Medicago truncatula: one gene and its partner. The protein of the gene in region 1 binds, or shares a complex with, the protein of each later gene. Links are inferred from orthologs where the notes say so. Each region holds a gene or a part of one and is shown on either strand. Other genes may lie near its edges. The genes, in order: acyl carrier protein 1, mitochondrial; NADH dehydrogenase [ubiquinone] 1 beta subcomplex subunit 9.

Region 1 (7,669 bases):
TAGTCTTAAAGCAGAGGATATTAAGTAGCAACACTTCTCTGATACAAGAAAACTCCAACTCTGTCGAATAATATGAACGTTATAGATCATAAAATGTGAAACCAGACAGTCTAAGTCAATTTACTAGCCCCGCACATATTGTATTTGCAGTGGAGGAGGACTCTGTTGTTCTTATTGTGTATAACTGTGAGCTCCTAAATATTGGGCAACTGTGAATTAAGAATGAATACGATAATAGGTATTCTAAACAAATACTAGTAAACACTGTTGGCTCATCAGCTTGCGAAGTGAACTTGAATACATTGTAGAATGTGAAACAAACAATATAAAGTCATGTGTGAAATCCGAAAAACAAAGTGTCTATATAAATATTTCAAAAGACGGAGAATCCTAAAGTAAGGCATCAAGTGAACAAAATAGAGCCTTTTAAATTTACAATTGTCTTAAATCATTTGGTACTGGCAGATGCACACATTGTGCTGCTGCTGCTACCTATTTGTAATTTGGTTTCTGTTAGATTCCAAATAAATGAATCCCCTGGGAGCTATGCCAGTTTCTACATATACTTAAAATATCTAGCTCTGAAGTTTCTGATTATGGAGGAAATCAATCTATCAATAGCTGAGCAAGAGTTGTGGGAGAAAACTGACTGTCTATTTAATTTGAGAAAATGTTATCCGTTCTCATTACATGTTTCACTTTTGATTATAAAAACACAAACATTGTTTTCCCTTTGTCTCCCATTTTCAAATATATATGAAGGAAACAACAGAAACAAAAAATAGTTATTTTCCTGGTTTCCAAGACAAATCCTTAAAAGCAAGAAACAACTGAGGTATTTTTGTAATTAAAAGTGAAACACAGGAAATAAACACAAAAACATTCAATTGTTTTTTCTGCTTCCTACACAAGAAACGAGGTGAAAGTAAAGTTGTTTTTGTAATTAAAATAGAAAACAAGAAGAAATGCAAAACAAAAATGTTCTTTTGAAACCAGGATACCCTAATTATCTATGTTTGGGAATTTAACATATTACATATTCTGGTTTAAACTTGTTAATAACATGATGAAACCTTCTACTATGAACAAATAGTGTATTTATATCAGTGTTGCTTCAACTTAAATAAATGGAATAATGAAAGTCTCAAAGATAAGTTCAAATATTACTTTGGGAACAAAAGCCATATTGAAGATTAAACCCCCGCCCCCTTCACCCCACCCAAAGGAAAAAAAGTAGAAAACTAGGCCATAAAGTGTTGTGTGTATCAGCCTCCTCCTTATGCATAATACAGAAGAGTTTGAAGTCCACAGCTCAAATCCACCATAGAACACCATGGCACCGCCATCTTTCACAAATTGGCCGTGGCGGTTGTCAAAAATTCGCCATCGGTGATATTTCACAACACTGGAATTTTGACAAGATTAATCAAGTGTTTTTTTTTTAACCAGTGTGTGTGTGTCTAGGAAATGGGTTATGATTGCACAATTTTTTTAATGAAAACAACACTGTTTAGGAGTTTTTTTATTCGGAACTTGAAATTTTATTAATGAAAACAACACTTTTTTAAGGAGGAGAGGAGAGAGAGAGTTACTATATAGTACAAGGATAAAAACAAGCCAAGATCAAAGAGGAAAAGGAGAAAAGTGAATCAAAGCAAGGGGAATGTCTTCCAGTCCCTAACTCCTTTGCATGTCAAATCTGGAATGCCTTCATGAAAGTAGAGTTTATCAAATGTAGTCTTATTTTCCAATTTAAATATTTTGCACAGGACTGTATTGAATATAAACATTCAGATGAGGGGTATTCAAAAGATTTTATTCAAACTGTCAGAAATTACGCATTACTAAAATATGAGAGAATCCATTTAAACTTCAATATTTTGAAAAAATAAATATAACTACAGCATTATAAAGTCCAAACATACAAGCAAATTGTATGAATAAAATTATTTTTTTAAAAATGCCATGTAGAAAACCAGTAGGAGTTATTAAGGTAAGACTGCAGACATCTAACCCTTCTCACACTCCACAATGATAATGCCCATTTAGAAAGAAAAAAAAACATTGAAGAAAATGGTTTATTTAGCCAAAGAGCCATGTAGTTTTTCCTACAAAATGCATCTCAGTTGAATAATATATTATTATTATCAACTGAGAACTGCAACGTAGTTTTCTCTTGCACATAATATCTCTCATTAAATCTTCAAACAAATCCCCGCATAACCAAGCAGACACTTCCCACATGGTGAGTAAGGCCTTATTTGAATAAACAACTTAATCAAGTGTTTATCATATAAATGTTTACGTTTATCACAGTGCTAGAAAATAAAGTCAAAATGCTATCATATAAGATATACGTGCTAATGGACATGTTATAGATTGTTTTCATAAGTTCTCTCAAACAGTCTCACATTGGCTTATGTCAGTAGATAAGCTCAAATAACTCAATTCAAACAGGCCTCAAATCAACAAATAAGCTGATCCAAACAGGCCCTAAATCTAAAACTTTCGGAGCAACCCATTCGGAAAAACCCATTTCTAATTTTCCACACAAATTAAGACAACAAACACTTCTAAGATGGTTAATGAGCAAACCTTTCAAATTTGGGCTAAATCAACATAATAACAACTTGGGACACACATTGCACATCTTTTAGCCTTTTAACATTATTACAAACACCACCCAGGTAATTATTAAGGTAAATTTCCAAACTTTAGCAAAAAAACCTTTTGAATAAATCAACATAATAGTGATTTAGGTTACCTATTACACATTTTTCTCAATTCCAAATTTTGGGGGAAACCCATTTGGACAAATCAACAGAATAACAATTATGCATACTCATTTCTCAGTTTTTTTCCCCCTATCTTACAGTAATAAAGACTAAAAATTATGCAAAATGAAGGGGAAAATAGGAAAAGAAGAAACCTTTGAAGGATCAACTTTGGGGAAATCTTTGATGACAGAGAGGACTCGCTCGACGACTTCTTCTTTGGTGATATGATCGTCGTGTGAAGACATGGATCGAATGGAACCATTCCATGGTTGTAATTTTGGAGTGGATTGGATTGGAATACGAACATGGCGGAGTATAGCTGCTCTCAGTGCCATTTCTCTCTCTCTCTCTCTCTCTCTCTCTCTCTCTCTCTCTCTTGATCTCTCTGTTTCTTCTCTTCGTGAACGAGTGAGTGTTAGAGGAACTTGTCACACGCACTATAGAAAAAGGGAACAAAATATTCTAGTTACACCCCATATTCTGCTCATTACCTCCCTCAAATACAAAATAATTAACAATAATTTTTAAAACCATTTTTATATCTTTAATTAAAAACATTTTATTGAGTCCCGTAAGCATAGCTCAATTGGTATGATACTGCATTATTATATGCAAGGCCGGGATTCGAACCTTCATTTTATTGAATATGTTTTTAAGGGACATTTTATTGTATATGTAAGTGACCTTTTTTTTCTATTGATTATTATTGTTTTTTTATTTTTGTTATTTTTTCTTACATAAAATATCTCATTTTAATGTTCGTTTTTGATATGTAAATGTATTGGATTGACCTTGAATATGCTTGAGACTTTCCTACCAATAAATTTCTCCTTGAGATGTTGCACATAAATCCCCTACTATATATATTGCATAGACATACTTGCTTAAGTGCTATAAGATATTTATTTGAGAGTTGAGGTAAATATTAGTAGAGTATCGCCGTTCTCTTTTGTGTTTAAGAGAAAAGTTTCACGTACGAGACATTCTTATATTGAAGACATCAAAGACTCGATCAATTTCAATGATGTTGTTAGGTACAATTTTTTTAAAAAAATTTGTTAGGTGTAATAAATTATTATTTGATTGAAACTCTCATACCAATTGATGTGAACCTACGATGGAGGGTTCAAAGATAAATGACATTTGCAAGATTGAATTCATTTTTTCAAGCAATTTTTTAAAGACCTATCATAGAAACACACATAAAGAACCAAGAAAGAAATTGAAAACTTACAAAAAATAGATTAGACTAGATGACGACATAGATGTATGATCTCTACGAAGATAAGACCAAAATGAGAACCGCCACAAGAGATTTGAAAATCTCCTTGATAAGATCCACAATGGTTTAACCAAAAACCTTGGAGGATATTTTCTACCTCACACACAAGTATGAATTTGTAAATTCTGTTGTCCTCAAAAACTAGTGACCATAAAGGCTATGTTTAAAGAGAATAAATCGTCGACAACTAAAATATAAAAAAGCTACGTTTTAAGAATTTTATTACACTTCCATTAAGAATTCCAATCAGAAACAAACAATATTTGGAATAATTTGTCCATCTATCTCTGTTTGGAGTCTCTTAGCTTTCCTTATAGTAATCACACTCTTTTATTGTCTTTGAGCTTCTTGAATGTCGTCATCAGTTTTGCTGCTTGTATAAAAGAAAAATGTCATGAGTCAAATGATTAGATTTTTGTTATGAATGGAAACAAAAGAAATAATTCCATTATTGAATCAAGTGGTTAGCACGTCAGGGGATAATGACATGACCTTGTGAGTTGAGGTGTTGTGTTTTTGATGACATGTAGTAGGATATGATTGCCTGCTATAGTGGTGTTTGGTTAGGCTAACAAGATGATGTGACACATTAACTTCACTCGACTTCTTCCTTTGCTAGGCGGGTGGAAACGCGGGTAGTTGGATCTGGCTGGGAAATTCCACATTGTAGGTTTTTGGACCTCTTGAACATGATGTCAATGTTTTGAGTTTAACTCTTCCTTACTCAAAAGCTGCTCTAGTTTGATGCCAAGATGATTCATAACTAGGAAGGAAAAAGTGAGACACTTTGTCATAAGAAAACACTCATACACACTATGATTTTACCTTTTCAATGATGAACAAAGTACATTATAAACTCCTATTGATATGAGAAGGAGAGTTAAGAAAATTATATGCAATAAATTAACCGTTAACCGTTAACCGTTAAGAGATTTACATGTACAATAAGCCAATTGTTATTCAAGCAATAAACTAATACATGTCATGAAATAACTTTAGGTGTCATCTCATGCAATAAGACAAGTGTATCACATACAAGATAATAAAGTGCAACTTGAGCTTGAATCATTGTATTTCAACATAAATATACGATTGAATCATTTATTGTGCCTAAATCACACAAAGAGAAAAGTGTGGTTGACCGTTCCTTTAACATTGTATGGAGGTGTATCTCGTCCAATTTAGATTAATTATTAATAAAAAATTATAAAAAACTTATAAATAAAAAACAAGTAAATTTGAAGTGGAATTTGTACCCAAACAAAAATTGAAGTGGTCCCATAAGTATAACTCAGTTGGTAACTATCAGGAATAATTTGTGCAGGGGCGGGGTTTGAACCCTGAAGATGTCACTTCTCCACACATAATGTGCGTGAGTCTAGCCACTAGCTACTTGACCAAAGGAGAAAACAAAATTGAAGTGGAATTGAACCATATTCAACCTTTAATTAATTTTTATTGCTGAAAGTCAATCTTTAATTAACTATTATTACCATAAAAGAAATGAACATTTTTACGGAATAAAACCATATTTAATCTTGAATTTATATCAGCATGTTATTAATTTCCTTGTTGAGAGTTGTTTCCCGAATCGTAGAATAACAGAAGGCACACGTGTTTTACCATTCTGAGCCCGTAAAGTAATGGTCATCAACTGCCATCAATTTGGCTTCATTCACCCCCCGAAGCCGTCACTCACAATTTGACAATTGAATCCTATTCTTTCCTTTTTAACCTTTTTTTCGTCACCAACAGCGACATTCTTCTAACCCTCTCTTCTTCACTATTCTTCTCTAAACCTTTTTTTCACTTCTGAAACTCTTTCAACTTCAAACCCAATCCACCATGACAGGTATATATACCTCTCTCTCTCTTTCTCCTTGTTTGGATGCTTTAATTCATTCATTATTAAGGGAATCGCTTATGTTTATTTCATTAATTCGTGTTTTTCGTTTTAGTTCTGATTATATGTCACGCCAATATTATTCTTCTGCTAGGTTTCACTTTCTTTTACATCAACATAGTTCAATACTTACCCTTTGCAAGGACCAAGTTGAACTCATTGATTTGTTATTGGAGAACTGATCAGGATCAAATTTTGGATTTACTGCATGGAAACTGGGTTAACTCTGTTTTTACCCTTCCATCATATACGTCTAATATGAATGAATGATTCTCTCAGTGAACATTTATATTTATATATATATATATATATAGCTGTTAACTGCTAATTTATGTATGATTTTACTGTTGCTGCTGTACTTTTGCATGAATTTAAGTTCCAATTTCAATTAGCTTTAAGCTCATGAGATCTTATCGGTTAAAGTATCTATAATTGAGATGGATAAACTAAGTTTAACTTACTCAATTCACAAACTTGTTATTCCGAAATTCCAAAATTGGCTCTTTCGACTTTAGTTTTTCTGTCCTGCATTTTACGTTTACTTGATGTTTCTGCGGTTACATTTAAAAACAAGTGACTTAATGTTGCTTTCGATTACAGATAATGAAGAACCGATGATCATAGCCGGAACAATTAATGAACTACCGTTTAACAAATACAAGCGATGGCAATGGTGGTTTCTGGTGGGACTCAGCATAATGTTTCTCATCGTTGGACAATCTGCTGCAGTTATCCTTGGAAGGTTTTACTATGATCAAGGTGGAAATAGTACATGGATGGCTACTTTAGTCCAAACTATTGCCTTCCCAGTCTTGCTCATTCCGTTATTCACAATTCCTTCTTCTTCTTCAGAGGTTTCAGCTTCTTATGTTCCTCCTTCCATCAAACTCATCGCTTTGATATATTTTGTTCTTGGAATCATGATTGCTGCTGACAATATGATGTATTCACAAGGACTTTTGTACCTCTCTGCTTCTACCTATGCACTGATTTGTGCATCTCAATTAGCTTTCAATGCAATTTTCTCATACTTTATCAACTCTCAAAAGTTCACTGCTTTGATTGTAAACTCGACCGTGGTTCTCACTTTATCTTCTTCACTTCTTGCTGTCAATGAAGATTCGGACACACCTTCTGGTATCCCGAAGGGAAAATACGTTGTTGGTTTCCTTTGTACACTTGGAGCTTCTGCACTTTACTCTCTTTTGCTTTCCCTCATGCAATTGACCTTTGAGAAGGTTCTGAAAAAGGAAACATTTTCTGTTGTTTTGGAAATGCAAATCTATACTTCACTTGTTGCCACTTGCGCATCCACAATAGGCCTATTTGCGAGTGGTGAATGGCATAGTTTGCACGAAGAAATGAAGAGTTTTCAGAAAGGAGAAGTTGCTTATTTAATGACATTGGTTTGGACAGCAATAGCATGGCAGGTTTGTTCTGTTGGTGTGGTTGGCTTGATTTTCTTGGTGTCTTCTCTCTACTCTAATGTTATCAGCACTGTGTCTTTGGCTATTACTCCTATTGCGGCTGTTATAGTTTTTCATGATAAGATGAATGGGGTGAAGATAATTTCTATGCTTATGGCTTTATGGGGTTTTGCTTCCTACATCTATCAAAATTATCTCGATGATTTAAAGGCAAGACGCGCACAAGCTGGCACTTCTAAGCCTCACAATGAATCTCCATGTTGAAATTCTTAGCGACTGC
Region 2 (7,548 bases), on another chromosome or scaffold:
GTTCTCTCATTCTTGCCAACAAACTTTCCTCTCATTTGTAATCTACAATATAATCCCTACCCTCACCAGGCCCCTTAACCATAACAAGGAACGCATCAATACCATCCACATGAAAAGCTGCAATTTCCTCAAGTTAGAAGGGTGAAAACTGATCACAGAAGCTTGTCTTCCTCTTCCTAGCTGCCTACTAGATATTAGCAGCCAGTTATCAATAGGTTTATTTGTTGACTGCTGGCCCTCTAGACTAGTTGGTAATGTTACGGGATCAGGTATTTTAATAGCTGGAGTTTACCTCCCTTGCCAAGTCCTGGTATTTGTAAAACCTGCTGCATGACAGTAGGGTGGTGCTTATTACCCATGTGAATTTCCTTGAGCATGACAATACAGGCCTCTTGACTGAGGCTCTTGGACTTCGTGATGCAATCTGTTTTGGTTTCCCCCCAAGGTCCCCAGGACGGTAAAAGTACCCAAATTCAACAGCACTAACATCCACCCCTTGAGTTTGGCTTCCATCATTCCTCTCCAGACCATTCCTTTGCTTGTTTAAATGTCAGCCAAAATCCGTGAGTCAACCCAATTCACCAGTGGATTGAATTAATGCCTCACATTTTCCAATGTTATTTTGAATTTGAACCAACTCATTAAACAGTAGGCCAAAGCGAGTTATGCAGGGTTGATACAGATGGCCTCACTTTCTCCCTTTTTTTAATCTTAAAAATCATTTTTTATAAAATAAAAAATACAAAGCATGATGGGTCACACTAGGTTGGTTCATTCAGACACCTCTAGATTGTAATGCATTTTTTAATGCAAAGCCTGATGATAAGCTCTCTCTAAATATGTTGTGTCTTTCCCAATATGACTCGCATGCATAGGATTCCACTTTTGCTCAACGGGTTTAAATCAACTTGGTTCACCATTCCTATTCAAGGAGTAGTAGGGGCATGGGTCAACAACTCGGCATGTTTGTGTTGCTGTTGGAATGCCTCTCACACCTCAGCATGCAGGTCTGAGAAGGACTTAGTGATCCCGCAACAATTGCTATCAAGGGGCTTAGTTTGGCCGAATGAACATTCAACTGACTGACCTAATGCACTAGAGAATCAATTCGTTGTGAAGCCGGTCGGGTTTACACACTAAACTCTCCCTCTCCTAAGCTCTCGACAAAATTAGAGCTGAATGCACGTTCAGTGCAATGAGGCCAACTGTCCCCACAATTTATTTTATTTTTTAATTTGAGCATACTTAATGTGTCATCTTTATAAGACCATTTTTCTGAATTGTGATGTGTCATGTGAAATCCCGTGTATTATTGAGAAGAAAATATTGAAAGTAAGAACAAATAGGTAAACTCCATGGGCCCTGGCTATAAGTTGAAACTGAAATGGAAACACATGACGCCTTCTCTCCTTCTGAACAACCCTCTATAACAAATTGGTTCTCTGTTTCCCTCCAGCAAACTTCCCCACCCACTTTTTATTTACAAGGTAGTCTCTCCCTTATCAGATCCCTTCTTATAACTACAATCTCATCAATTTCATAGCCTTCTTCGTTTTCATTGTTAGATGATTATGACACCTTGAGACCTTAGTTTTACTGTTTCAAACATAACATTGTTTGTTCAAAAATTAATAATATTGATTTATTATCCTCTAATTGGGATCATTAGAGAGAGAAAATTAAGGGGATCATTATTCTAACTTCTAATACGCATGTTTAATGTATAATTTCAAAGGGGAATGGAGCACACTTATTCCTGGCTATATGGAAATTAGGTTAGTCACTTAACTAAACAATCACAGAAAAGTTTGGTGCATTTCTAAAGAGACTTTAAAGTACACAAGAAAAGCAAATATTTCGACCATTTTATGTGATACTCTCACATGATAGGGTCATTGGATGAGATATATCATCACAATAGTCTTGGCAAGGGAAAAACGTGGTAACATATGCAGGTGTTAGCGTCTTGCAGAGGACATTGTGTATATCTCTCTTATCCAAAGAACTTGTCCTAAACTCCACAAACACAAACACACACATATACATGTCTATGTATGAATATGATATAAGTATGAACTAAGTGGGCCAAATAAAAAGGAAAAAAATAAAGAAAGCATATAACCATAATGACTTACCCCTTGAGGTGGAGCTGGGTTGCGAGTAAACTTGGAACCACCAGGAGCCCATGGAACTATAATACAGCAGAAATAAGAACAAGCCAGTATTAGAACTGGATTAAATAACAAAGCAGGAAAGAGATGGTGTAACGAGTAAAATTTTACTAAGATTGTAAAGCAAAGGAGAAAAATCAACCCTCAAGACTAGAAAAATATAAAAAAATAAAATAAAAAAAAATTAAAAAAAAAAAGGCCAATACATAGTCAGTGTGCCTATGCCACAAAGGAAGGCAGATTGTAGCCGAGGTAAATGAAATGCTTCAAACTAATAGCTCTGTTTGTAAGTTATATACTAGTGAACATTTGATATAATCTTATTATGACAGTCCCCTCAACTCCTATAGCACTAAGTAAAATAATATTCAGATGATTTGCAACCATGTGTCATTACTTATCATTCCTGCTATACTAGGGATAATGAAAATCAAATTAATACCAAACACTAAGTATATGATTTGTTGTTGTTTTACCTATATAAGGATCGGGATGGCGCCACTTATTGTAGCTAGCTTCAGCATCCGCTATCAACCTATCAATCGTATCAAGATCTTCCTGTAAATTATTACAATCACAAAATTAAATTAGGGTGAGTGAAAGTGTAATTGCAAGATGCGATGATGATGATCTGAAATTGGGAAAACAACGAACCACGTGTTTGTTTTGCTCGAACCTATCGCGGAGGTTTGAAGCCTGAAAATGGAAGGAATGAGAGAAAATGTTATGAATTGAATGAAATTGGGTGAAATGAAAGAACGAGAAAGGGAGGAAAGGGAATACGTCGTCGTAGAAGAGGTGACGATGTACAGCCCAGTTGAGAGTGTCTTTAAGAGCACGGCGATACAGAATCCGAACCTTCTCCCTCTGCGCCGCGCGCCGAGCAACGTAAGCTACCGTCGATGTTAAGCTCATTTCTCTTTTCTCAATCTCTTCCCTTTTTTCCTTTTTCACTTTTCATTACAATTACAACAACCAGAGAGAGAACCACGGCGTCGTATCATCGTTGGGCTTTTGGGCTACTTTTACTTATCCAGGCCCGATTCATTGCTTTTTAATCCTTCCCTATTTACTCGAAATTTTACGTTGTAACCCTACATCTATACTTATCCCAACCAAGTACATCTTATCTTTATATATTAAAGTTAACCCGCAAGCCCTAATTTTAACTTAAACCCTATTGCATAATTTTACTGTTTTAATCCTAATGCTCACACCTAATCTCCTATTTTCATGAACAACCCTAATGCTCTCACCTAATCTTCTTATCTTCGTATATATTAAAGTTAACCCGTAAGCCCTAATTTTAACCTAAACCCTATTGCATAATTTAACTGTTTTAACCCTAATGCTCACACCTAATCTCCTATTTTCATGAACAACCCTAATGCTCACACCTAATCTCCTATTTTCATGAACAAAGCAAATCAGCATCGCTTTATTTCTCCCATTTCTTCAAAACAAATCGCCCTATTTCTTCACTAAAACAAATCGCCCTATTGGAATAAAAGGATTTTGAAAGATTATAGCAATATTTTTTTTGTTAATATTACACTTTTCATCCAAATTAGAACTGAACTCTCTTTGTTAAATATCTACCATAAAATGCACCTGAATTTTGCAATCTATATAAACAGGTGGAAGAAACATTTCAACAAACAGTTAAAGCGTATCATTTACGGTAAAGGCCAAATATTCGATAAAAGGAAAATTATTTAAATAAAACATTTTACATGTTGAGGTTTAGAATGAGCTATTTTTAGGTACATAATATAACATTAACATATAATTTTTACAAAAGAATGAAGTAACATTCTGTCAAAAAAAAAAAAAAAGATGAAGTAACATACCAATAATATAACATTGACATATAATTTTAACAAAAGAGTGAAGTAACACACGATTGATAAAAATAAAAATTAATATTTTTAAGGTGAATAAGTGTGGTGTCTGAGGTTCGAATTCAAACATCTGCATATATTTGGAACCACATATTTCATTCTCTTTGATATGCATTGAGATTTGTTTTTGTCTACTACATCTACAATGTATATGACCCGTGCGGTAGCACGGGTGGAAAGTTAGTTATCCTTATTATCTAATCCTAAACTACAATGCACACAACAATTGCAAAACCCTAATCCTTGGCTTTGAGCGGGAAAATTGTGATTTAACCACATTTAATGGCATTTTTGAATTTCAAATCATGTACCCTTTTGAAATGTGTGCATATGTGCCTAATTAATGCAGATTTTGAAATTCAAATATCCCACCACTTGCAATTGTGCTCGCTTCTTTCCAAGGCATGCAGTTACCCACTTCTCAATGCAAAGGCATATGAACCAAACAAACCTATTTCCTTGCATTTTGCTCTTTCTCCCTCTCTCTCACTCCCCTCTCACACCCATTTTTCTCTAATCAGAAAAAGTCAGCGATTTTCAGTCCCTCTTCTCTTCTCTCTCACTCAAGTTTTCTCTCTAAAAAAAAAGCCTCTTCTCTTCTCCCACGTTATTTTTTTCTTCATTTTCTGACATTCTTCTTCAATTCTCCATCTCTCTCTCTCATTGTTTCTCGCGTAGCTCTTCGTGTCTTAGTTTGGGTGTTCTCTTCATCGCCGGTCAACCTCACCAAGGCAATAAGCATCTTCAAGTTTTATTGAAAGAGAATGCTTCTATGCAATAAAATTTTCAAGACCTTCGATCCCTCGGTATGCGTTTTCAGTTTCGTTACGTTTTGATTGATTTTGATTTCACGATTTGGGTTTTGGTATCACCGGTGTTGTTTTGATTGATTTTTCCGATTTGATAGGAAAGGAGCTTGAAGAAGGTGGAGTTCTCAGTGAATCGGCACTGTCGCGGAAGGTTTTTCTTTTCATCAACAATCTTCTCTCTCATTCGCTGCTTTTCTCCTCTCTCATTAACTTTTTGTATTAAACTACCTATACATGTTGTGATAAGCTTTAAAGAATTTAATCCAAAGTTTGTTCTTGCTATGAAATTTTCCATTGAAAAACTGCCACTCATGTTTATCTGTATCCTATTATTCCTACTCCATGAGTATCTTGACATCATGAGCCATGAGCCACTATCATCACGATAATGGGTGTGAATAACTAATATGAAATATAGTTTCATTAGATGTAAATTTGCATAACAAGTATTGTCAATGTTATGATAAAATAGTGTGCAAATAAATAAACTTTACATAAATTGATGAAGATTGTCTTTTGAGAAAATAGTGATATTTTTGGTATACTTTGTCGAGGTGGTTTCTGTTTTTTGTGGTGTGTTCTTGAGGGGCAGCAGGCTGTGTAGTGCATCTTTGTTGGCTGCGTGAGGCTGCTGCTATTTTAGATAGCAGGTTTTTGGTTCTGTCACTAGGAACCGTTGTGATGTTGGTGTTTTAGGGGCTGCAGCTCTTTTGTTTTGTGCCTAGCCTTTTTCTTTTGTTTGCTTTCCGTAATCAAGGGGAAGACGTATGTGTTTGGTTTGTGTTTTATAGGATCCTGACGTTGTTTATAGCTCACTGGTGTCCTTTTTAATGCAAATAAATAAATAAACTTTACATAAATTGATAAAGATTATCCTTTGAGAAAATAGTGATAGTTTTGGTGGACTTTGTCGAGGTGGTTTATGTTTTTTGTGGTGTGCTCTCGAGGGACAGCAGGCTGTGTGGTGCCTCTGTGTTGGCTGCGTGAGGGTGCTCTACATGTATAATGTTTTTCATATTCGAATTATTTCAAATTGCAAGTAATTTAAATTGAGTTTTAAGGTAGTTTTCTTTGACTGCAAATATAAGGGGCTTATTTCACAAGGTTATACTTAGATGTGTATATTCACTATTGAAGCTTATTTTGAGTTTCCGTGATGACTTACTTTATCGAAATCACGGTGTGCCGCCGCGATTTATAAAAAGTTATAGGGTGCAACTTTTACAATAACTAAAAATTAACTAATGATTTGCCTGAAGTTTCTAATTCTTTTTACTGGTCCGATTACAGTCCCTCTCTGATGATTTTCCACAACTATCAGATTTGATTGAATCAACTAAGGTTAATTATTTTGTCCATAATTTTTGCAAGATAACTCTTCAGTTTACTGGTTTAGGTCAAAATTAATTTATTTTGTGTATAGAACAATAGTTATGCAGACCACCCATTTCAATAGGATAATGTCAAAATTAATTTATGCAGACTATCCATTTCAATAATCAATAATGTTTGTTTGGGTTTGTTTGTATAATAGCAGGTTTTTTAAGATTTGTTTTGTGTATAATGTGTCATTTCACTCCACGTAGCTAATCTTAGTGCTTGTTAATGAATAGAAAGTGGCTCATAAAATAATTTAAGGGTTGGATTGTTCTATATTATTTTTGCTCATCTCTCTTAGTGTTTGAAATTAGTTCAAAGAGTGGTCTAAAAATTCTGCTAACATATGAGGATGACGCTTGCATTGATAGTTTTCAAAAAAAAAAAAAAAACGCATTGTATACACATAAATTCCTTGAAATATAATTGTATACACAACGTACACTACATACGAGGTCAACTTTACGTCGCAATATCCAAGGTGACCTCAAGGAATGGGTTGAAGATTTTAATGACTGATGATAATATTAACGGCATGAATAGCACTTCAAATGTAGTTATAAGGAGATTTTATGCAATCTACCGATTTAAGGTCCTTTTTTAATGTATTTTTTTTAGAAACAATATATTTTGTACCGCAAGCATATTTAATTTCAATATATTTGCATGTTTTGTTTCCAATCGAGATGACCCGTGCGATCGCACGGGTGGTCTAGTTTGAAAGTTAAAACACCAATTTTTTTTTCTTCAATAGTTGTCGGTTCACCCTACAGTGAAAACCTACTAGGAAACACATTCTAAGTTTTTAGGGTGGTGCAAAGAATCAAATCGGACTTTCATGTCCAGAATTTCATCATTTCGTCTTGTTAAGATCTTCATCATGTTCAAAATCGTCGTCTTTTTTGTGCCAGTGAATTTTGCAGATTTGTAGTAATTGGTTTAAATACAACGTTTTGCCGATCTTGAAAACTTCAAATACAATGTATCATATTTGATTGCAAAAAATACATTCAAAGATTTCCGTCTAGGAAATCCTGAAAACTTGATCATTCTTTTTTGAAATTTTTGAAATTATTTGTTATGTTTTGAATGAATTTTATTTTGTTTTGTAACGATTGGTTATTTACTCGAGTAAGCTTTACATCTGACGTATGAAATTACTAATGGCATGCAAAGGACTTGGCTAAATATTTAGAGCCTTTTTTTAGTGGTAACTTGGCTCAATATTTTGCTTTTACTAATTTGATTTTGCTTGTAATGATCTTCGTGTAATTTGATTTTGTCTTCTTT

What was found.
Region 2: the proteins of acyl carrier protein 1, mitochondrial (region 1) and NADH dehydrogenase [ubiquinone] 1 beta subcomplex subunit 9 are in contact, whole or in part, in a cryo-EM structure (PDB 8BEH), measured with the Arabidopsis thaliana proteins. The link is inferred for Medicago truncatula from reciprocal best matches to the Arabidopsis thaliana genes MTACP-1 and CIB22. Residues at the interface, in NP_181990.1 of Arabidopsis thaliana: Asp78, Ser79, Leu80, Asp81, Val83, Glu84, Val86, Met87, Glu90, Glu91, Lys94, Leu95, Glu96, Ile97, Asp99, Lys100, Ala102, Asp103, His118, Met120; in NP_567970.1 of Arabidopsis thaliana: Glu18, Arg21, Ile22, Tyr24, Arg25, Arg26, Leu28, Lys29, Leu32, Arg38, Phe41, Arg49, Phe52, Asn53, Tyr84, Ile85, Val86, Pro87, Trp88, Ala89.

Annotation. Positions count from the first base shown.
Region 1 is NC_053048.1:37,507,809-37,515,477, reverse strand, and holds the start of acyl carrier protein 1, mitochondrial, read right to left. Parts: upstream 3,204-7,669; 5' UTR 3,113-3,203; coding exon 2,930-3,112; intron 1-2,929. Other genes in the region: probable purine permease 11, read left to right, coding at 5,905-5,911, 6,563-7,653. UniProt on the Arabidopsis thaliana protein: Carrier of the growing fatty acid chain in fatty acid biosynthesis. May be involved in the synthesis of short and medium chain fatty acids.
Region 2 is NC_053044.1:58,454,959-58,462,506, reverse strand, and holds the start of NADH dehydrogenase [ubiquinone] 1 beta subcomplex subunit 9, read right to left. Parts: upstream 3,169-7,548; 5' UTR 3,087-3,168; coding exon 2,955-3,086; intron 2,868-2,954; coding exon 2,826-2,867; intron 2,730-2,825; coding exon 2,648-2,729; intron 2,192-2,647; coding exon 2,136-2,191; intron 1-2,135. UniProt on the Arabidopsis thaliana protein: Accessory subunit of the mitochondrial membrane respiratory chain NADH dehydrogenase (Complex I), that is believed to be not involved in catalysis. Complex I functions in the transfer of electrons from NADH to the respiratory chain.